Saccharomyces cerevisiae S288C: one gene and its partners. The gene in region 4 interacts genetically with the main gene of each other region. Each region holds a gene or a part of one and is shown on either strand. Other genes may lie near its edges.

Evidence for each region.
Region 1: mutations in RRB1 (region 4) and INM1 together harm fitness more than expected from each alone (negative genetic interaction), as found in Saccharomyces cerevisiae (one large-scale study listed by BioGRID).
Region 2: mutations in RRB1 (region 4) and SCM4 together harm fitness more than expected from each alone (negative genetic interaction), as found in Saccharomyces cerevisiae (one large-scale study listed by BioGRID).
Region 3: mutations in RRB1 (region 4) and FRE3 together harm fitness more than expected from each alone (negative genetic interaction), as found in Saccharomyces cerevisiae (one large-scale study listed by BioGRID).

The regions. Positions count from the first base shown.
Region 1 is NC_001140.6:196,422-201,628, forward strand, and holds INM1 (inositol monophosphate 1-phosphatase INM1), read right to left. Parts: upstream 1,865-5,207; coding exon 977-1,864; downstream 1-976. Other genes in the region: DDE1 (Dde1p), read left to right, coding at 1-812; AAP1 (arginine/alanine aminopeptidase), read right to left, coding at 2,319-4,889. UniProt on the Saccharomyces cerevisiae protein: Responsible for the provision of inositol required for synthesis of phosphatidylinositol and polyphosphoinositides.
Region 2 is NC_001139.9:589,435-594,255, forward strand, and holds SCM4 (Scm4p), read left to right. Parts: upstream 1-1,879; coding exon 1,880-2,443; downstream 2,444-4,821. Other genes in the region: transcription factor TFIIIC subunit TFC4, read right to left, coding at 1-35; polyubiquitin-binding protein UFD1, read left to right, coding at 392-1,477; YGR050C (uncharacterized protein), read right to left, coding at 2,652-3,008; protein kinase FMP48, read left to right, coding at 4,162-4,821.
Region 3 is NC_001147.6:1,053,835-1,060,042, reverse strand, and holds FRE3 (ferric-chelate reductase), read right to left. Parts: upstream 4,499-6,208; coding exon 2,363-4,498; downstream 1-2,362. Other genes in the region: FIT2 (Fit2p), read right to left, coding at 51-512; YOR381W-A (uncharacterized protein), read right to left, coding at 1,453-1,620. UniProt on the Saccharomyces cerevisiae protein: Siderophore-iron reductase responsible for reducing extracellular iron prior to import. Catalyzes the reductive uptake of Fe(3+) bound to di- and trihydroxamate siderophores.
Region 4 is NC_001145.3:531,348-536,869, forward strand, and holds RRB1 (ribosome biosynthesis protein RRB1), read right to left. Parts: upstream 3,352-5,522; coding exon 1,816-3,351; downstream 1-1,815. Other genes in the region: POM152 (Pom152p), read left to right, coding at 1-470; DPI35 (Dpi35p), read left to right, coding at 772-1,680; JLP2 (Jlp2p), read right to left, coding at 3,597-4,223; REC114 (Rec114p), read left to right, coding at 4,860-5,522.

The DNA of each region.
Region 1 (5,207 bases), on a different chromosome or scaffold from region 4:
AATACCTAACCATTTCGACAAAATTGGCAAATTCTAGTGCAAGCCTACAAATTTGGGGAAAGCTTTTTGCAGTTTTGCTGCATGGTGGGTCTGCATCTTTCATCAATCCTACAACGATAGATTGCGAGTCGTTGCAAGAAACTACGTTACTGTTTACCGAAACAAAGGATGTTGTCAAATTAATTGATTCTAATTCTAGAAGTGGGCTGCTGAATAAAATCTACTTATCCTGGGCCACGAACTTACTGAGCGAGGGTATTTTTACGAAAATTGCCAGAATCGAGCCACATTCTCTTGAAAAATTAAGATGTGTTTATTTGGCAGATAATGTGAAAGATGCTGAGGTTATTTCGACATTTCCTGAAAAAATTCCTCAGCTAAAAAAGACTAACCGAAGAATCACCCCAAGCACTGAACAATTGAATAAAATAAGAGCTCAATTAGGATCCCGTGTAGTCCTCGAGTTATATTGTCCCTACGCTATCATGGGACCTGTGGCACATACCAATTTTTATGACTATAGGGTTTTTGGAAAATCTGTGGACGATAACGTTGTATGTTATGGAACACTAAGTACAACATTAGAAGGAAAAATGGTAGAAACGGAAACAAACCCTCATTTGAACATAGAGAAGAAGCAGGGTATGTTATGTATTCGTGGTTTTAGCATAGGTAAACCAGTAGAGTCCGATCGTTTAGAGAAAGCTTTGCATTTAGCTGAAAGGTTTGGAGGAGGTGAAGGATGGATGCCTCTAGTTGGCGTTTTTGGACTATTTGGCCAAGACGGTTGCTTATACATCTATAATCAATGAGCATTATCTATCGCTTTATTATTTATTATTTATTATTATCATTATTATTATTATCATTATTATTATTACTACCAATACCTTCTATATCCCTGTGATCAGCTAAAATGATTCAAATAACTGTCATTTTAATCGTACATTTTATATTAGGCCTAATGTGCTGACGATCAGTCATATTTCAAATGGCCATCAACACAGTTCCAAAAGTCTGTGATATATTTTGTTTGTTCGTCACTTTCGTTATTAATTGTTCCCCTCACAGCCAAATATGTCCTATTGTCGACATCAATACTCCATTCACCTGGATTGGCACCTACTACACGACCGCCCACTTCTTTCAAAATACACCATCCAGCACACACGTCCCACGAATAGCAACCACCATCCCAATAACTATCAAGGTACCCCATAGCAATATATGCCATTGTCATTGCAGATGATCCTAAATTTCTGAATCCATGAACAAAACCGTAATCACATGATAGTAATTTTTCATATGTGGCCATTTTTGTCTGAAAATTCTTTCCCTCTCTAGCGGAACCTGGCTGTAATGCCACTACGGATTTATTTAGTATTAGAGAACCCATAGATTCCAATTTTGATTTATAGTCATAGTCCTTGTTGTTAACTCTCATCCCATTTCCTTTAGAAGCGGATACCAGAAGATTAATGTGAGGATTATATATAACGCCTACTACGGGCTCTTTGTTTACTGTGAGCCCAAGAGAGGTACAGCTAAATGGGAAATCATGAACAAAGTTTGTAGTCCCATCAATTGGATCAATAATAAAGGTAGGATCATCAGTAATCACGGTCTCCCCTTTCACATAACTTTCCTCTCCAATAAACTTGAAAGTTGGATATTGGGTTTTTACCGATTCCCAAATTAACTTTTCGACCTGTTTATCGATAGCAGTTACAATATCAACGCTCCTGGAGCCAGTCTTCAAGTCATAATCCTTTTGAGTGCCGGACTTGGATTTGATGATTGGTCCTACTTTTTCAGTAGCCAGTTCACAGAGGAATTTCTCGATAGAAGCTAGATCAATGGTCATGGTATATGTGTATATGCGTGTACCAGCTGTTGATTTCCTTATTCATCCAAAAAAAAGAAAACACTGGGGTTATTTAACAAGCAGTTAAATGTGAAGTAAGAGATAAAAGACCTATATTAATACCATTTTTGGAAAAGCAACGTGCGCAACAATGAAAGTCACTCGATGCATCCATTATTCAAAAAAAAGTTTTTTTTTTTTTTCCATACATCATCAGATGAAAAAATCTCGCTATGACGCACGCCAGTCAATATTCACTCAGTTCTTCCGAAAGGAAGCAGAAGAAAGTTCTCTATACTTGGAAATGTGTCAATGAAGATGTTATCAGATTCATTTTCTGCTAGCTACTATATTTCTACATAAGCAAGTAGTAATCTCTTTATTAATTACACGTGGTTTTGACTCATTGGCATATGTATATATTTGTGTTGTAGGTGCTCGTGAAAAAAAAAAGCTATTGATCATACTCATGCTCACGCAAGTAGGTAGCAACGATTTCACGATCTCTGCTCACCCATTGCGCCTTGGATCTAATAGTGTCTAAGGCTTGAGCCAGGGTTTGATCAAAACCTTTAGTGACCTTTCTACTATAGAACGCACTAATTTTTTCAAGGGCTTCAAAAGAGGTAAAATTAGTTAAACCCAATGTCAACACGCCACCCAACACAGGCGAGCCTGGCTGTAATCTCTTAGCAATTTCGTCCCAGTGTTCTTGCATCCAAGCCCATAACCTTTCAATACCCTTCTTATGAACTCTAATGCCTTGCATTGGGATGTAAAAATCTTGATTCAAAACTGTACCATCTAGCAGATAAGACAATGTCCTTTCTAAAAGTTCTTTGTCTTCAAATCTGCCCAAAGCTCTCAAAGCGATAATCTTTTCTTCTGACGAAACAGGGTTTTGATAGATGTTGAAAATCTTTTCGTAATTGTTTTCTCCGCCAAGTCTGGCAACGGTGTTGAAAACAACTGCCTTGAACAGTGCAGGTATGGCCTGTTTGTTCCCATTGGCGTATTCCTCAAACATTTCTACCGCAATCGATTGCATTTTTTCATTGCCAGAAGTGCATGCGGCACTGAAAAGGGTCACTTTTAAACGTTGGATAGCAAAGGAGTCGTCTTCGCCAATATTCCACCCCAATTCAGAAAGTTTGTTAAGTACTAGATCCAAAGTAAATTTATCTAGAGCATTCAATATATCCTCTGGTTCGAAGACCCAAGTAGATTTCAGAGCGGATAAACTATTAATGATTTGTTCCCAAACAACAAATGAATCCTCGTTTTTCCAATTAGAAATTAAATTCAAGAAGTTAGTAGTAGAGGTATAGCCAGATGCAGAAAGGGCTTTTGCATCTGCGACTAAGCCAACACGATCCTCTACGGATAATAAATTTGCCTGTTTGGATAGCTTAGCCCATCTTTCGTCAGAATAAGAGGTAATGAAAATACCAGATTGGTCACCATTAATCTTGAAGAACTCTTCATTCTTTAATTCGAAAGTAGCAGATTTTTCGTTCAATACCAATGTGTTATCGATACCTGTACTGTCTTTCAAAGCTAACAAAATGGGGTATATGGTTGTATCTTCCTCTTCTTTAACATCACCGGTACTTAAATAACGGTGTTGAGTTAATGTGATTTTGTTCTTGTGTTCCTTGACAGATAACACTGGAAAACCAACACGTTTTGTCCAGATGTTCATCACCGAACAAACGTCCTTGCCAGAGGCATCTGCTAAGGCGTCCCACAAATCTCCGGTCTTTGCATTACCGTATTTGAATTTATTCAGGTATTGGGACACACCTTTAATAAAAGTCTCTTCACCCAACCATTTGGAAATCATCCTCAATAAAGAAGATCCTTTAGAATAAGAAATAGCATCAAAAATTTGATTGATTTCGTCCGCATTATTAACGGGAACTTCAATTGGATGGGAAGATCTTAATGAATCTAAATTTAGAGCACGTTGTAAATTGTCAGTAACATATTGCTCCCAAACTTTCCATTCTGGTTGAAACTTGTTGCAAGAGTACCAAGACATCCAAGTGGCAAAACCTTCATTCAACCATAAGCCTTCCCACCAATCCATGGTGACCAAGTTGCCGAACCATTGGTGGGCTAGTTCATGCTGAATAACCTCAGCAACTCTTTGAATGCGATCTAAACTCGAATTTTCTATGTCTAATAACAAATCAATAACTCTATAAGTCACTAGCCCCCAGTTTTCCATAGCACCAGCAGAAAACTCATGAACTGCCACCATATCCATCTTTGGCAATGGATATTCTATGTTGAAGGTGTCCTCAAAGAATCTCAAGGTCCTAGCAGCTAAATTGGCTGCAAACTGACCAAATTTTTCGTCCCCTGGGGTAGAATAAACTCTTACTGGAATACGGAAATTATTGCTTTCCACGTATCTCAGGTCAGCTACAATAAATGCTACTAAGTACGTAGACATCTTTGGAGTCGTGTTAAAAGTTGTATATTTCTTACCCTCTTTGATTGTTTCATTCCTGACATCCATGTTGGACAAATGAGTCAGAAACGATTCAGAGACCAAAGTTACTGCAAAAGTCGCCTTCAAATTTGGTTCGTCAAAACAAGGAAAGGCTCTTCTAGCATCTGTGGCTTCCATCTGAGTAGTAGCCATGTACTTCGTCTCCCCTGTGACTTTATCCGTATACTTAGCCCTGTAAAATCCCGCCATCTGATCATTTAGAATACCGGAAAAGATAATTTCTAACTTCGCAGAAGGTCCTAGGTTTTCAAAAGTTCCATTAGGAAAGACAAGAGTAGCTTTTTGTTGGTTTTCGTTTTTGTTAACTTCAATGGCATTGACACCCTCAATACGTGCAGAATGGAAATCTATTTCTAAGTAATTTATTTGCACAGAGTTTATCGAATGATCATTAATCTGCAGGTCAATTTTTAATGACCCTTCAAACGTAAAAGCACGGAAATTAGGTTCTAGTGTAATGTCATAATGCAATGGGGTAACGTTGTTTGGCAGTACTTCACGGGACATGGTATTAGCTGAGAGGGCAATTTGGCTTGCTTGAACAGGAACCCTCAAAGAAAAATCACGAATTGAATAAGCTTCCCTGAAGATAATTCTAAATGATTAGCTAAGATTACTCATAAAGTCAAAAGTTTGATCGCTAACAAAAGGGAAAAAAACGGAAAAAAAATAAAAAAATGTGTCAAACTCCCACAGCCAAGTCCAAGAGTACGAAAAAAAACTTTCACAACGAGTTCAAAAAATGTGGGATGAAGACTCCCGTTTTTCACCGCCTAGAAAACAGCGTTTGCTGAGAAAAAAAATAAATCATCGAGAAGAAGTATG
Region 2 (4,821 bases), on a different chromosome or scaffold from region 4:
TTTTGCTGTTCCTTTTTCAATTTTCCTGCTGCCATCACAGATACACTTGAGGGTTTCTTTCTCTAGCTTCAGATTCATTGTTGACTGGTGTTATTATACACAGTGCGCTGCCATTATTATCGTTCTTCTATTTCTAGCCGAAGCGCCTTAAAAAAAAAAAGTGTCCACTTTGGGAAACTCGCCTTTACGACGAAAAAGTCAAACTTGCGTTCTACGAAAGAGAAGAATTCCTTTTTTGGGTTAGGTGGCGAAAAATAAAGGTAGTTAAAAGTAATCCTGGCTGGTCTATGTGAATAGGGAAGAGATAATGATGTAGTTTTCAATAGATAGTAACACATACCATAGCAAGGGAGGAAAAAATATCAAAGTGATACTGTAAAATATAATAAAAATGTTTTCTGGCTTTAGTTCTTTTGGCGGCGGAAATGGTTTTGTAAATATGCCTCAAACGTTTGAGGAGTTCTTTAGATGCTACCCTATAGCTATGATGAATGATAGAATACGGAAGGATGACGCAAACTTCGGCGGGAAAATATTCCTGCCACCAAGTGCTCTAAGCAAACTATCCATGTTGAACATAAGATACCCCATGCTTTTTAAACTAACTGCCAATGAAACTGGACGTGTGACACATGGAGGTGTTTTAGAATTTATTGCTGAAGAGGGCAGAGTTTACTTACCACAATGGATGATGGAAACTTTGGGTATACAGCCAGGATCTCTACTGCAAATTTCATCTACTGATGTACCTCTGGGCCAGTTTGTGAAGTTAGAACCTCAGTCTGTAGATTTCTTGGATATTTCCGACCCCAAAGCAGTTTTGGAAAACGTACTGAGGAATTTCTCGACTTTGACCGTGGACGATGTTATTGAGATTAGTTACAATGGTAAAACTTTCAAAATTAAGATCTTAGAAGTCAAACCAGAATCATCATCGAAGAGTATATGTGTCATTGAAACAGATTTAGTAACAGATTTTGCTCCACCTGTAGGATATGTGGAACCGGATTACAAAGCGCTGAAAGCTCAGCAAGATAAAGAAAAAAAGAATTCTTTTGGTAAGGGCCAAGTTTTGGATCCCTCGGTGCTTGGCCAGGGATCGATGTCCACAAGAATCGACTATGCGGGTATCGCTAACAGTAGCAGAAACAAACTATCTAAATTTGTAGGTCAGGGACAAAACATATCTGGTAAAGCTCCGAAAGCGGAGCCCAAGCAAGATATAAAAGATATGAAGATAACGTTTGATGGCGAGCCCGCCAAGCTAGATCTGCCTGAAGGCCAATTATTCTTTGGTTTCCCAATGGTCCTACCGAAAGAAGACGAAGAAAGTGCCGCTGGTAGCAAATCCAGTGAACAAAATTTCCAAGGCCAAGGGATCTCACTAAGGAAGAGCAATAAGAGAAAAACGAAAAGTGACCATGATTCGTCCAAGTCCAAGGCTCCCAAAAGCCCGGAAGTAATCGAAATTGACTAAAAGATATATACTAGTATACAACAATATAGTGTCTTTGACAGATATATAGAGCATTTTCAAGTTAACAGATCTTAGAATCCAAGTATCTTATGCATCGCATTAGCTCTGCTGCATTTGCTGTTCGTTTAGTAAAAATAATTACGTGCGCGGTTGCGCGATATTTCCCTTGCTTAATGCCGAAGTAATTCTCTTCGTTTACCCATACTCGAATCTATTGTGTTGTTGAAAAATAAAAAAAAAAAGAACCAGGTTATATAATTGTGAGTTGATCAGTATATAAATGAGAGAAAAGAAGTTTCTATTGTTCCAAATTATATCCAAGCTGATTTTTTAACCCTTACCTCACGAAAAGCAAGTTTAAGACAAACACTCATAAGAATCCTTACATATACTAAAAAACAAATGCAAGTCTCCCCAGCTATTGTAAAAGGTATCGCAGTCTCATCATTAGGTTTATACGCCGGTATTTTAACTTCATCTACCGTGATTTCTATTACCACCCCAATAAATGTTCTAACTCAACATTTGAAGAATGTTTTGTGCACATTAGGATGCTGGAGCACCGTTTTAGGTGGTTTAGCTACTGGTGCCTTTGGACTCAGCTACTATCTAGCTGCACCAGGAGAAAGACCAAACTACCTTTTGTGCGGACTTGGTGTCGCCCCATTATCTGCAGCCTACCTATACTTAGTATCACTGTTCAATCACAAGCTAGCCCCAAAATGCACACGTGACCAAAATGATTTAGAAAAGCAAAAGGATGAAAAATTACCCCAACATCACCCGGAAGTCAAAGATGGGGAAGCTGCATGCCCATTCTCAAAGATGAACAACGCCAAAACATTAAAACCTGAATCCGAAAGAAGCGTAAAATGTCACTCATACATGTCATTGCACATGAGCATTGTAACCGGTATAACAATTTTTACCTTTGGTAAGTGTATCCTAGATGGATTCAAAGCATGAACGACGAAGCACGTGACACGTTCCCTTCAAACATCACAATTATTTAAGCGAGACTAATATATATGTTTAGCGAAAAAAAAGGCCAAAAAAACTAGTAAATATACAAAGCAGAGTATTTTTGGCTCTTGTCCACATTGGATAAGAGAATATTTATTTTTCACACAGAAAAAAAAGTTATATACGTATCTCTAAGAAAGTCAAAGACAAATTACGTAGAATGTGATTCATTCCCATTTCGCCCGTACACTCTCTGTCTCTGTCTCTGTCCCAAACTTCCCTTCCTATACGTATTCATAATCTGCTTAAACGTCAACAGTAGTTTCGGAACATCTTCATACGTAGGGAATACGACTTTTTTCTTTTCACCTGCAGCTTGAGCCAAACTAAAACTGGGATCCGGATAAACTATTAATAAAGGATCGCAAAGTCCATACGCCAGTTTAATGGGAATGAAATGATATTGCGAAGTGACGTCAAGAATCGACTTTAAGCTATATCCGAAGTCAAGAAAGCCGAACCTTACATGCGGTCGGAAAGCAAACGAGGAGATTAGATTGGTTTTCATATCCGCTAAATTTTCTTTTGATTTTACTTTGGCTTAATCTAATGCATGTATATCGGAAGAAGCAACCGATCTGGCCCAGTTGAGTCGTGCTACCTTAGTCATGCCCAGGAAAACCGGATTCCTTCTTTTCATTATGACATCCGTTTAGGTCAATAGGCTTTTTTTTCTCTCGCCCGTGCCTCTCCGTGTTCGATGAATGTGCAGCTTGCCTCCGAGCGGGCGAGCCACCTCGAGCGGGTGACGAAATAGTGGAAAAGAAACGGGGAAGCAAAACTGTGCTGTTCTGGCCCGCAGCGGACGAACGTCATTAAAGGCGCTCCATTTCTGTCGTGAGGGTCTTTCGGTGCGGTGGTGAGGCTGCGTAAACAAGCTTGCTCTTCATACCCCTCCCGTGGAGCTAGTTCGGAAGGACTATTGGCGCATCTTCTGTTGAGAGGTTCCGTAATTCTCCGTAACGTCCCGTTCACCACTTTGCATGTGCTCTCACGTACGGCCGTCTCTTTTCGGCCTTCGGCCCGTTCCGATTTTTGTACCCCTTACGTGCTTTGAATTCTAGAAGGCATCTCCTCTCCGATGGCTTGGTACAGGGAGCACTAGGGAAATTGCACATGGAAGTATCTGGAATACAAAGTTTTTGAAAAGAAAAGCCGAGCGTAATATTGGGACAATACCCAGTTCTCAGCCTTTTCAGCGCGGGTATGAGACAGCTTGCAACAGGTAAAAGGAAGTTAGAAGGGTTAGGTGAAGGGAACGATGATGCTGCCTGAGAACAAAAATGCAGCTTCATGTTACATACAATAAAGGAAGGATAATTAAGGGGACCATGCAATAAGGGACAACTTAATTTTGGAAAAATCGGAGCTTAGTTGCATCTACCTACTAATACTTTCCCCAAAGAATAATAATACGAGTACAATACATATATATATATATATATAATATACACATGTAAGTGATGACTATTCTTAATACAAAAAAATTTCCCTTTTATAATAACTATTCTTAGCATTAAATAACCCGTTACTGACAAAAAGCATATAACATAGGACTCAAGATCGACTCTCATACCCTCCGAATCAAATTCTCACTCGTATACGCAATCATTTAAATAAGCACATCATTATCAGCATATACCGAATAATAAAAAGCAAAAATGTATACAAAACTAAGATCTATACAATCAGGAACATTTAGCACAGTTTATAAAGCATGGAGTACTACACATAACCGCTACGTCGCTTTAAAGATTACTCCTAAATACAAAACTTCAGAAGCCAACATGAAGAACGAGTATGATGTAATGAAGATTTTGAGTTCTTGTAATCCTCACCCCAACATCTGTTCGATGCTCGACTTTTACACGGATGACTCGTACTACATCATGGTGCTAGAATACTGCGAATGTGGTGATCTTTATGACTTTCTAGATATTGCTAAGAGTCAAGGTAGCCCGTCGTCTCCATCTTTGATTCAAATTGATATGCAAAAGATAATCAAACAACTGTGCTCAGCAATCAGCTTTGCTCACAGCTTGGGTATTGCTCATCGTGATATCAAACCAGAAAATATTTTGCTAACGATAAATGGTGACATCAAGTTGGCAGACTGGGGTCACGCTATCCAATCCCCTAAATCTAACGACTTCCAGATTGGTACCGATAATTACAGGGCGCCAGAAACTTTCTCTGGCCGCGTTAGTAACTCTTGTTTTAAGAAGAATTTCGATCGGTCATCGGCTCCATTGTATAACACATACCAAGCTGACTATTGGTCATTGGGTGCCACCATATTTTATCTGATGTTCGGCGATTGC
Region 3 (6,208 bases), on a different chromosome or scaffold from region 4:
AATATGCTATACACGATAACTAATAGCTTTTTTCTGGTTTGAAACCGAGCTTATAATAGGTAAGAAATCAAACCAAGGGCCAATGCACCGACACTTGCTCCTTGGAATGCAGCAGGAGCAGCACCAGAAGAAGAGGCAGAAGAGGAGGAGGAGGATGAGGAGGATGAGGAGGATGTAGATGATTCGACGGCTTGAGTGACGGTCTTGGTGTAAAGGTTGGTTGATGAACCTGAACCGTTTGTCAAAGTAAGTGTCTTTGTTGTACTCTTTTCAGAGGTGGTATCTGGTCCTTCGGTGACAACCTTTGTGTAAGTAGCATCACTATTACTGACAACGACAGTTCTAGTGGTACTGTAACTAATGATAGGGTCAGCGGTGTCGGTAACGACCTTAGTGTAAACGTTATTACCGTTAGTAGCAGTAATAGTCTTAGTGGTCATTACACTCGACACAGCTGCTGCCGAGACGGCAGTCATAACTGTAGTAGCTCCGAAAATAGTTGAGAATTTCATTATTATTGTTTTGTGATGGCTTTATGATAGACTTTTTTACAAGGACCGTAAAATTCTGCCTGAAGCACGCACACATTCCTGTTTTATACATATATTGCTAGGTAATATAAAATGCTAATTATACTGCACCCAGTTAGATTCGTATACATCTTATCCGAACTCGATTACAAATTATACAAGTGATCCAATTGGGTGAACCTCGAAACAGTTCTCTGTTCAAGGGTCCGCTGCGGGGCGAGGGGGGGTGCATTTGAACTTAGGGTGCATTGTTTTAAATCCTATACAGGATATGAACTTAGTTAGTTCAATGATCGCTTGATAAATTGCACCCTGCTCTTGAGGGTCATTCTAAGTAATGAAATTTTGGGTGTTTTTGTTTGCCGTCCTCGTTCAATTCGCTTCCGCCGTTCTGGAAGCCCCGTTAACTTCCGTTCCCGCATTCCGATCGCTGTAGGGCTTGGCGTCAGTAGCACCCAGATATTTCACTGTAGGAGCTTACTTCACTCATTTCAATTGGTATACAGAAATCTATGAAATGTAGTTAAAGGCATCACTAATCCGCATCCGCGATACCCGCAACATATACGGAATGTCTATGTAAAAATGTCTCCTGTGACTTTCATTAATCGAATCTTTCTATAAAAAAAAAAATGAGCAAATCACAGTACACCCACTACTCGCATCATCAACGTTGAGTCAGTAGCAAAGTCTCCAGTTATGGTGCCCTCTGGTCCAATTGTAGTAAATTCGTTTGCACGGATGAAAAATAGCTCATGAATGTTCTTGTGTATTTGAATACCATTATGTGCGCGGCTCATACGGATTTAAGTGTGATCTTCCCCTCCGTATTCCCTGTCAATAACTCAAAGTTTTCCCATTTCGGTTTGAAGTTCTTCACAAGGGAGTTTCTTGGCGCAAAGGCATGATGATCGCATTTGCCTCAGTATATTTCGTCATTTCGGTACTGAGAAACGAAATTATTTTGCCTGTTGTCTTGCGTTTTGGCAACCCTTAAGAATTCATCTAATATGTTGGTCCTTAAAGATAAGCGCTTTTGCTTGTAAAATTCTGATTTTTTGTCTTGTGATGGTAATGCTACATTGAACATCAATGCGTATCTGATTTTAAAAAAAAAATTAGAAGTGTGTATAAAATGAAGGTATTATCAGTTGAGCAAATATTACATGTGCTCTTCAAAAGTACCTGCTTTTCATTTAGTGACTATCAGGATGATAACGCCGCTCGTCTTATTTTTAACTGTCGTTTTCTGATAAATGTGTTGAAAACGTGCTAAACAACAATTACCTGTTCTCAAGAGCCTTGAGCCTGGATTGAGAGCAAAAAATCTCTCTTTCATTTTATACAGAATTCGGAAAGAAGATGGATATTTCATGAAAATCTGTTGGTAAAAAGTGGATAAAAATTTTGTATTATTAGTATGTTCTTAGTGGTTAGGTGATAACGAAGCGAGAAAAGCAGGGCAAATGGAATAGAATAGCGTGTAGTTGTTAAAATTTTATTTCACTGAGGCTTATATGCTTACTGAGAAATTTTTTTTTTTTACAAAAAACTTCTTTTTATGTTATACCAGCTGTGGATTACCACAACAATTGGAAAGAACATCAATCCAGAAAAAAAATTCAGTTAATTTGGAGGAAGAGAAATTTAAGTCATGGAACAAGAGTGGGAGACAGTTAAAAAATGCTTCCAAAGATTAGTAGATTGAAAAAGTTTGTGAAAGTCGATCAATTGTCTTCATTGCAGCTAGACATAAATTATGTTTCAGGTCAAAACAATTAAATATATACTTGTGATAGGTAAAATAGTGAGGAAATAAATAAGGTAATTGATTACCAACTTTGGTATTCTTCAAAGTATTCGATTGCCTTTGCAGGCTTCTCTAGAACAAGATTTGCCGTTTGATCCCTTACTTCGTCAACGAAAACAGGAGGCCCACAACAAACCACAGCTAACGATCCATTTAGGTCACCAACTTCATGCAGAAGCTTTTCAACATTGGGTCTTCCATGATGAAAAACAGTACCATCAAATTCAACTGGATTAGGTGACTGTTCTAGGGTAGTTGCCATAACAACACCTTTTCCATCGGCCTTCTCGTCTTGTTGAGAAATTTCCAAACTATCATTAGGAGTTAATGCCGGAACTTCCATTGTATTGTAGATGTGAAGCTGTACATTAAGATCTTCTAGACACATCAGCTCCGGCTTGTAAGCCTCGAGTACGTTAAACCCTCTAACTGCAATCACTAATTTTATGAATTGTTTTCCAGTTGCCGCTGACGTTTTTCCAAGTTTAATGGCGTGTGCAATGGGCCCTGGCAAACCAGTACCTCCCGTAAGTAGCAAGACGTTATCATAATTATTGACTGGAGATGAAGAGCCATATGGACCTTCTATAGCTAGTCTCATAGATGCCTTACCTCCATTGCAACACACATACTTTTTGACAAGTTTTGTTACTCCCTTTTTTTCCTTCAGGATAATAGTCAGCTCACCATCTTTGATAATTGAATCTAAGACTGTGAAAGGATGTGACTGCCAAAAATACAGGTGGTGTAGGAATGAAACGAAAACATACTGTCCTGGTTTGGCTTTCCATAGCCTTACTGGTCGTTTGACTGTGACTCGAATGATGTCATCGCCAACTAACTGTAAGGAAGCCTTAGGGAAACCGAAATAAGATACTCTAACAATTCGAATTAGCCTATCAATAGTCCAGATAGCAATAGCAGCGTATATCCACTCAATCCCACTCAATTCTACGACGTGCTCCCAACACGTATAAAAGAACAATGCGCCAAGCACAATATGGAGAAATAAGAAGGCTTCATAGAAAAACTTTCTGAACATTGCCAAAGAAAAAAACACCATAACACCAACTATACAAAGAGCAGCTACTCCAAATTGCCAATATGTCTCTTCCTTGCTTGCTGCCCAATCTTTGTAGAATACGGAATAACTGGTATAAGCAGCGCCATGAATCACAGCATCTAAAAACATCATTCTTCCCAACCACTTATGAAACATTATGAAAGAGGTATATTTTACTCCAGAAATGAATTCTAGAAAATTGTTCCTTCCTGCGAAAAGAGCTATTAGGGGAAAATGTGCAAATGCCAGGACACCACTTCTATCTGCCACGTATCGAGCAATCTGTTCTCTACGAGAGTCGAAAATTAAGTTGTAAGGATCATATTGATACCCGTATGCCAGAAAAACTGTATGAAGCACGAGGTATCCAAGTATAATGACGCCTTCAGATCGTGTGGGAAGGAAGCCTGTAAAAATTTTAAGGTAAGAAAAGCTCGACGCATGTTTACCCCAGATAGTAGGTATTGTCAAATATCTTCTCACATATCTTACAAGTCTTTGTTTAAATAAGGCAGTTTTAAACGGAGTGTAACTTAGATAATGGAGTATGCTGGCAAGAATCATAACACCTACAAAATAGGCGCAAATAATACCACCATAAGTATGACCAATGTCGTAGTTGGCGTAGAAACCATGGTAAGAATAATAATAGTTTTCTCTCACTTGGGCATCCATCTCGATTGGATACGTAAGATTCGCGCTACCTTCAGAATACTGTATTATGTATGTTGTTCCATTATTCAGCATATTATAGAAATCTGCATTAGTCATATTCTGAAGGTTATCAGTGTAATATGCGCAGTCTTCTTTGATAGCAGCAAAGGTTTTTTCAAAGGTTCTATTGGAATAACCCTTTTCATTCAATGATTCGTAAATACAATACAACATTGACTGTAATGCCGGTTCATATGTACATGCTGGTGAGGAATATAAATCGTCACTACTATACTCCCAGGTTACTTCGCCGAGAACTCCCATGCAGGCATCTGTCAAAACCAGTGGTAACTTGCCGTACATTTTTGTCTTAGCAGGGGAGGCGCTTGCTCCTGACAAGCAGCATAACAAAATAGAACCACAAAGGAGGACCCAATACATTGTTTTCCTTGTGTCTTATAATTTTTGAATTGAGAACGTTCATCAGCAATTGAAGTTAATCATTCTCTTGCCACCTTATATAAGTTGCGACGAATCTTTTAATATAAACAATTGATCAAATTCTGTACATCTATGTCAAAGATGAAAGCTTCTGACAGCCAAAAAAAAGAGTCTTTCATCGCCAACGAATCAGTAGCTTTTGTTAGAATTAAGAAGTTTGGCTTTTCGCCAATTCTTTGAGATGAGGTACACCCACATTCCACGTAAAACTCAAATATCGGTCCAGGAAAATTCTCGAGTTCAATCACGTCACCAATAGTAATAATAATTGTGCTTCTCTTGACACTCGCAAGGGACTTATTCTTTACCATTCAAATTTTTCTCCTATTATACACCCGAAATAAAGGCAAAATGAGATATGGGTGCATTTTACAAAAGAGGTTGCAACTATCCCGTTCGCAGTGTAAACTATGATCTAGGGTCAACAAAGCGGTTAATTTGTCATAGTTCTTTGCAGCTTTTAATTCTCTGATATCTTTCCCTCAAAGTGTATTGTTTTCGTAACTTTAGATTTTATCTAAATGTTTCATTTCCGGCGCATTATTAGCAAAAGGGTGCTGTCTCCCTAGCTGCATTCCCAGACCGGAGGCACAGAATTCTGTAGTGATACTCTGTCATTACTTACTGCAGAAAAAGTTAAGTAGCCGCTCAGTACCTCTTAATTGAAATGAAAAATTTTCGTCGCTTATTTCCTGCTTTGTTTTTGAGTACGTTTCCAATCATTTTCTGGCGTACTTCGTGAAAGGGTAAAATTAAAATACTGAAAGCATTCATATGCTGATATAGTGCAGAAAAGCAATGAATGCTAACAACTTCCCGGATATCTGAGCAACTGGATTCGATCAGAAAAGGCACTTTTTACAGACGTACGTCAAAGCTTTTATCTTTTGGCTATCTTCGCCAACTCTATAAAAGGCTGTACTCCTATAATTAACTGATAAATAATTCCCGAATCATACTAGTATTTATTTTCTATGAGTTGTGCTAAACAACGACTTTTTGAAATGCAATATGCTGAAAAAATCACTTTTTAGTCGCAAAGTCAATTTTGGGTGATCGAGGGTTTTATCTTTTTATGCACATGTAATTCTTCCCAAGAAATAGGAATTTCTTCCCAGATGATATTTTCCAACACTGCTTCGTAGTTATAATAATCTTGCAATGCCAACCGTAAAATAGTAACGCATTTCTAGAAGAATTTCGCAATTCATTTTATATTTTTTAATCAAATGAGAAAAAAGTATAACGATTAAAAACTCTCTAACCATGTATTGGAAAAAGATGTTGCAACTTATGTAATATTCCTTGGCAGGGTTTCCGGGGCCTGTGCGCAACTTTAACGCCATTTTATGCAGGCCGAGCATTCTAAGCCTCAAAAAAAGTTGTATCTCCGAACCTGCCAATCTTTACTGTCGTACCAACCAAGGGTATGAAAAAAGCAAATAAGGCCTACAGCTTATTCAGCTTAGTATACTTCATCAGATTTATGATAAAATTTTTTTGCACTGATCCATCATTTTTTTATGGAACTGGTGGAGGAAGCTAGTTAAACCGCGAATTAAGTTAGGCGATGCGATGCGCCTACGTATTTTCAAAGTTTTACTGAAATTGGCTCAAAGCATAATTGTGATTGGAATGGGAAGCAATAAA
Region 4 (5,522 bases):
GTATTCCACTAAAATCTAAGGAACGCAGCTCCCAATTTGTTAGATTAGCATCTGAACCGGGCATTATATCTATCACTTCTTTACAGGATTCATCATCACAATGCATTGTCGACTTTACGAACCCTAAATTAAAGAGTGAATTTGATGACTTATCTTTAAACATACATCCTATTCCTTCCGTAACTGTTTCTCAAGGAAATTACGTTACTGAGGATATCCGCGAAGGTGACCAGGCTGAAGTAATCTTTTCGTTTGAAGGTACCCCACCATTCTCACTAACTTATGTAAGGACAGAAGAGACTGATGGAAAACACGGCAAAAGGAGGTCGCAGGTTGTTGAGACGCATAAAGTCACTGATATATATTCTCATGAATACAAGGTAATTACAAGCTTGCAAGGTACCTACGAGGCGATTGAAATTACAGATGCTTATTGTTTTGCCAAAAATGATCTTTTTTTCAATAACTAAATATTACAAGAAAGTCTGATGAAATTTTTCTTTCCCGCAATATTTTTGTACAATTGTAATGTATAATATATCTCTGTACATCAGTATTAAAATACTTAAGAAAGCGAAAAAGACGCCTGTATTGTTTGTTGTTCTTTTTCTTCAAAATTATCAAGACGCTCGATTCAATTATCTTCGCTCATAGTAACTCGAAAGAGTGTAGGTGAATGAATAGAAAAAGAGAGCGCTGAGACCTTTGTCCTTTACGGTCTATAGAGGTGTGTTAAAAGCAGACTTTTGAACATCCACAGAAATTGGCTCAATGACCTATCCGAAAAGAATACCTATAAATGCGTGGTCTGAAGTTCATAGGGTGGCAAGGCCACTAATTATTACTTTCGACGCATATAATACACTATACGCCACAAAACTTCCCGTCATGGAACAATACTGCATTGTTGGGCGTAAATATGGTATCAAGGCGAATCCTTCGACTTTAACAAACAATTTTCCACACGTTTTTAAAAAACTGAAGGAAGACTATCCCCAATACGGAAAATATTCTGGTATCAAGCCCGAACAATGGTGGTCCATCTTGATTAGGAACGTCTTCGCACCAAACGAAATTCCCGATGAGATGATAAATGAAATATTAATGCGGTTTGAGGGCTTCGATTCGTATTTTGTTTATCCAGATTTGATCAAATTTTTAAAGGATTTGAAGTCAAGACATCCTGATGTTATCTTAGGAATAGTAAGCAATACTGATCCAATTTTTTACAAATTATTAAAGAATATCGGATTATTTGAGACATTTTCCGGTCACATTTATTTATCATATGAGCTTAATCTCGCCAAACCTGATAGAGCAATATTTCAATATGCGCTTGACGATATTATATCTAAACAACCTCATTTACTCGAAAAGTACACCAGGGAGGAAATTCTACAGCATTGCTTTCACATCGGAGATGAATTAAAGAACGATCTCGAAGGGGCAGAAGCTGCCGGTTGGACTGGTATACTGTTAGATAGAAATGATAAATACGGGTTTCTTTCAAACTCGATTAGTAAACCAATGCGGGACGAATACAAGCTGTCAATTGATAAAATAGATAATAATTCAATAAACACTTGGGAAGCCAATACTAAGCAAACTGACACGTTACAGTTGAGTGAAAGAAAGTACGTTGTTTCGAATCTTGAGGTTTTAGAGGAACTCTTTCCCTGAGCGCCTAACGTTACAGTAACAAATATGTATGATAGATATTATTCATATCCGCCAGTAATATTTACTATATCTTTGAATGGGTTTGTTTATTAATAATCTACTATGTGTAAATATATGATCCAAGTATTATACAGTTTAGACACTGATTGTTTTCCAGACGTTCAAACCGTCAGTACCGGTACTTACTAAACAACCTGGGATTTGCTTATGCCATTTGACATCTTTAACTTCCTTTTGCCAGTGAACAAACAATAATTGTGGTGGAATTTCTTGTAGCTCTTTTGTTTCGGCGGCCTGTTGTTTAATTTCCTCATCGTCAGCTTCTACAGACAAATCCCACAAAGTCACAGTATTATCTTCTGAGCCTACCGCAACGATAGACTCATCTAATGGGTTGAATGCAATGGAAGTAATGGCTCCCTTATGGAAGTCATATTGAGCAACCGGTTGGACGGCGTCAGCATTACTTGGCGTAAACTGTCTTAAATCCCATACTCCCCATGTACCGTTATCGTCACCGCTTGCTAGCAAGTAACCAATTTTATCACTCCAACTTATGACATTTACGTCAGTATTAGAAGCTTTAACAGAGATAGCAGGTTTATGTTTTTTTGATCTTGTGTCCCAAATCCTTATATATCCATCACATCCTGCGGTTGCAAAAACGGTGGATTCAGTGCGAGACCACTGGATATCTTCTATGGATTTATTGTTTGAAACAGTAAATGGTTGTTTATCAGTCACCCATCTCGATGTGTGCCTTTGGGTAAAATATATTTGTCCTGAGCAATCACCTGATAGTAACGCACCAGTCTTGATCAATGGTGACCAATCCAACCCGTAGCCTTCAACATTCCCATGATTTTTTACAGTGTGAATAGGACGCTTAGCAGACTTCGGAATCTGATAACCTGGTGTGGAAAAAGCTTTGCTTTGTGGAGCTAGATTGTATATATAAACATCACCATTTTCGCTCATTGTAGCGGTTAACACCTCTTGATTAGAAATGGCAAAAGGAGAAACCTTTAATCTATTGGTTGTATCTCTCAATGGTATATTTTCATTCTCAATGACTGGATCCACATCATCTTCATCATCCTCTTCATCATCTTCACCTTCATTATCGTCTTTCAAAAGTGTTTTCGCTAAATTAGAAAGTGCTAGAACCATTAGTTCATTCTCCTTTTTCCTGGAAGATTGAGTAGCCGTGGTCAACAAAATAGACTGTGGATAGTTTCTACGTTCAGAACCTAGTGTATCTGGAATGACATCTAATGTCAAGCATGGCCATGGCATATTGACATTATGTAGCATTTCATAAACAGTGGGATCAGCCTCAAGGACTTCATCTGGCCCTAATGGACGAGACATATGGGGTAAGTAAAGCTCCTGGATCTTTTCTTTGTTGCCTTCGGATTGGTCCTTTTGTACTAAAGTTTCAGCTTCTTCTTGCTTTTTCCTAAGGTCATCTTCGTCATTAATCTCATCATCGCCATCAATTTCAATAATTTCACCATCACTATCAAATTCATCACTCAATTGTTCTTCTAGGTCATTCTTGGGAGCATCTTGCTCTTCAGAGGCGGGAATAGCAGGAACAGAGTGAGATTCTGTTTTAGCAGAGACCACTCTATCTTGTTCCTCGTTGACCTCGATAGACCTTTTCGACATTATGGTGCTATTTCCGTGTATATGAAAACGGAGAGTAGGTGATATAACTATTTACCTACAAATTCAAACAACTACAATCCCTATAAGAAATGATCATCTCATCGCTAAATTCAGTTGGATTTTATTTTCTGTATTTTTCGCTGAAAGGAAAAAAATTTTCACGGCTCGAACGAAAAAAGAAACGTGATCACGATGTAAGTACAAATGGTACTCTATTTTGAAGCGTCTACGTTATGTAGATGATATCATACTTCCAGTTGCATATCGTCAGTAACCTCATCTTTAGACTGTTTGTTCTTCTTCTTTTGGTTTTTTTTCGCTACTTTCCTTAGCTTTTCTTCTTCAATAAGATTTGATCTATTCGACTCAATATAGTTTACAAAAAAATCACCATTTTTGGTCTTCTTTGCTTCGTTAAGTGTAGCTTCCACATTATTAAATAGTTCTACCCTTGTCTTGGCCAGTCTGTTTAGTATTTTGTTATCTCGTGCTCCGCATTCCATTTTTCTACATTGTCTTAGAGACTTAAATGATACTTCACCGGGATTCATATACCTGTTTTTTCTCAAGTTATGCCATGGTGTTATCAAGATGGTGCATTGTGGCATTTTGTTTCCTTGAATGGATTCTGATTTACATAGCTGCAGACAGTCACATATCACTTCTTGCGGTATGTCATCGATTGTTTTTTCATTTGGGCGTAACTTTAAATAAACATGACCACTTGAGTACTTATCCGCGTGAAACCAAACATAGTTTAACTCCCTATAGCTCCATTTGATAAGTAGATCGTTTTCAAACTTATCTTTGCCCATCACAATTTGGTAAGGTGTTGAATACTCAGTTGGTTTTGATTCATAGAAATACACCATTGTTATTGAAAAGTTGAATTTCAATTGAGCCTTATAATTCTATTCGCTTACTTTCTAAATTTTAAGTATAAGGCAGTCCTCTGGTCTACAGAGTTGTTTTGTTTTTTTATCCAAGTTCTTTGTTTCAATCTTATTGTAGTTTTTTTCCATTAAAATATTAAAGCCTAGGATAATCTATATCCTAAACTAAATATAAATTAAGAGTATAAAAGATGAAAGTAAATAGCATCTAGCATTCAGAAAAAATAAGAAGTCTCTTTTCAAATGATTGATCGAGCACAACGAATGTTTTCAAACCACTGTTAATTTTTTTATAGATGTAATGACTACTTATATGTTCTACGATGTGATTTTGTAGGAATAAAATAAAATTCAGTTTACCGTCTGCATATTCATAAACACTTAAATGACTGTTAAAGTATTCAGTATTTTAAATAATAATAACATAAATTATTAATACATACTTAAATACGAAGCCCATTTTGGTGGGTTCCTGAAAGAATATCAACTTTTTTTTACTAATAGAGAATTTCGTTACAAGGTGGGCGGCTAACTTATAAAAAGCAAAGGAGAAGGTTTTAACATATCGTCAAGTTAAGTTTGAAAGAGAGAACTAAAATAAAAAAAAAGAGAAAAATGTACGAGTACTGCTCAGTTGTAATAAAGAAATACTCCAAGTATACAATTCCCTCCTTCGCTCCAAATGGTTTTCAATCAATGCTTGAGCCTCCTCAGATAGACAAGTGGCAACACCTTTCCGCTAACTGCACTCTCCAATTTCGGGTTCTTCTAATGGACTCTAGACAAATTCTGATCAATGTGGTTCTCAATAATTCAACACTTCTCGAAAATATTCGCCTGCCGCTGGGGGATAATCAAGATTTAATACAATTTTCATGTAAAAGCCCCATAATCTCTTGTAAATATATCTCCGAAGAATTCGGACCCAGAATGTTAAGGAGGTTTCAGATGAATTTGCCAAATGACGTTGAGTTCAACAGGACTGTAGTTTCTTTAAAGAACCTTAATTTTGTTTTAAGGACAGCTAGGACATCAATAGCCCAGAGTACAATAACAAGCCAGGTGCAAGGCAATAATAACGGTACAAAGGTCTGTTTCACAGAAGGTCCAAAAGTTAGTAGCTACACAAATCCGAACACGCAATTTCAAACTCAAAACATGATTATGGATTTCAGTCAACGTTATCAGGAAGAATCTGAAAGAGAGTCAAATAATCGTTCAAATATAACTTTACCACACGACAGCATTCAAATAGCTCAACAAATATGGCCAAACACG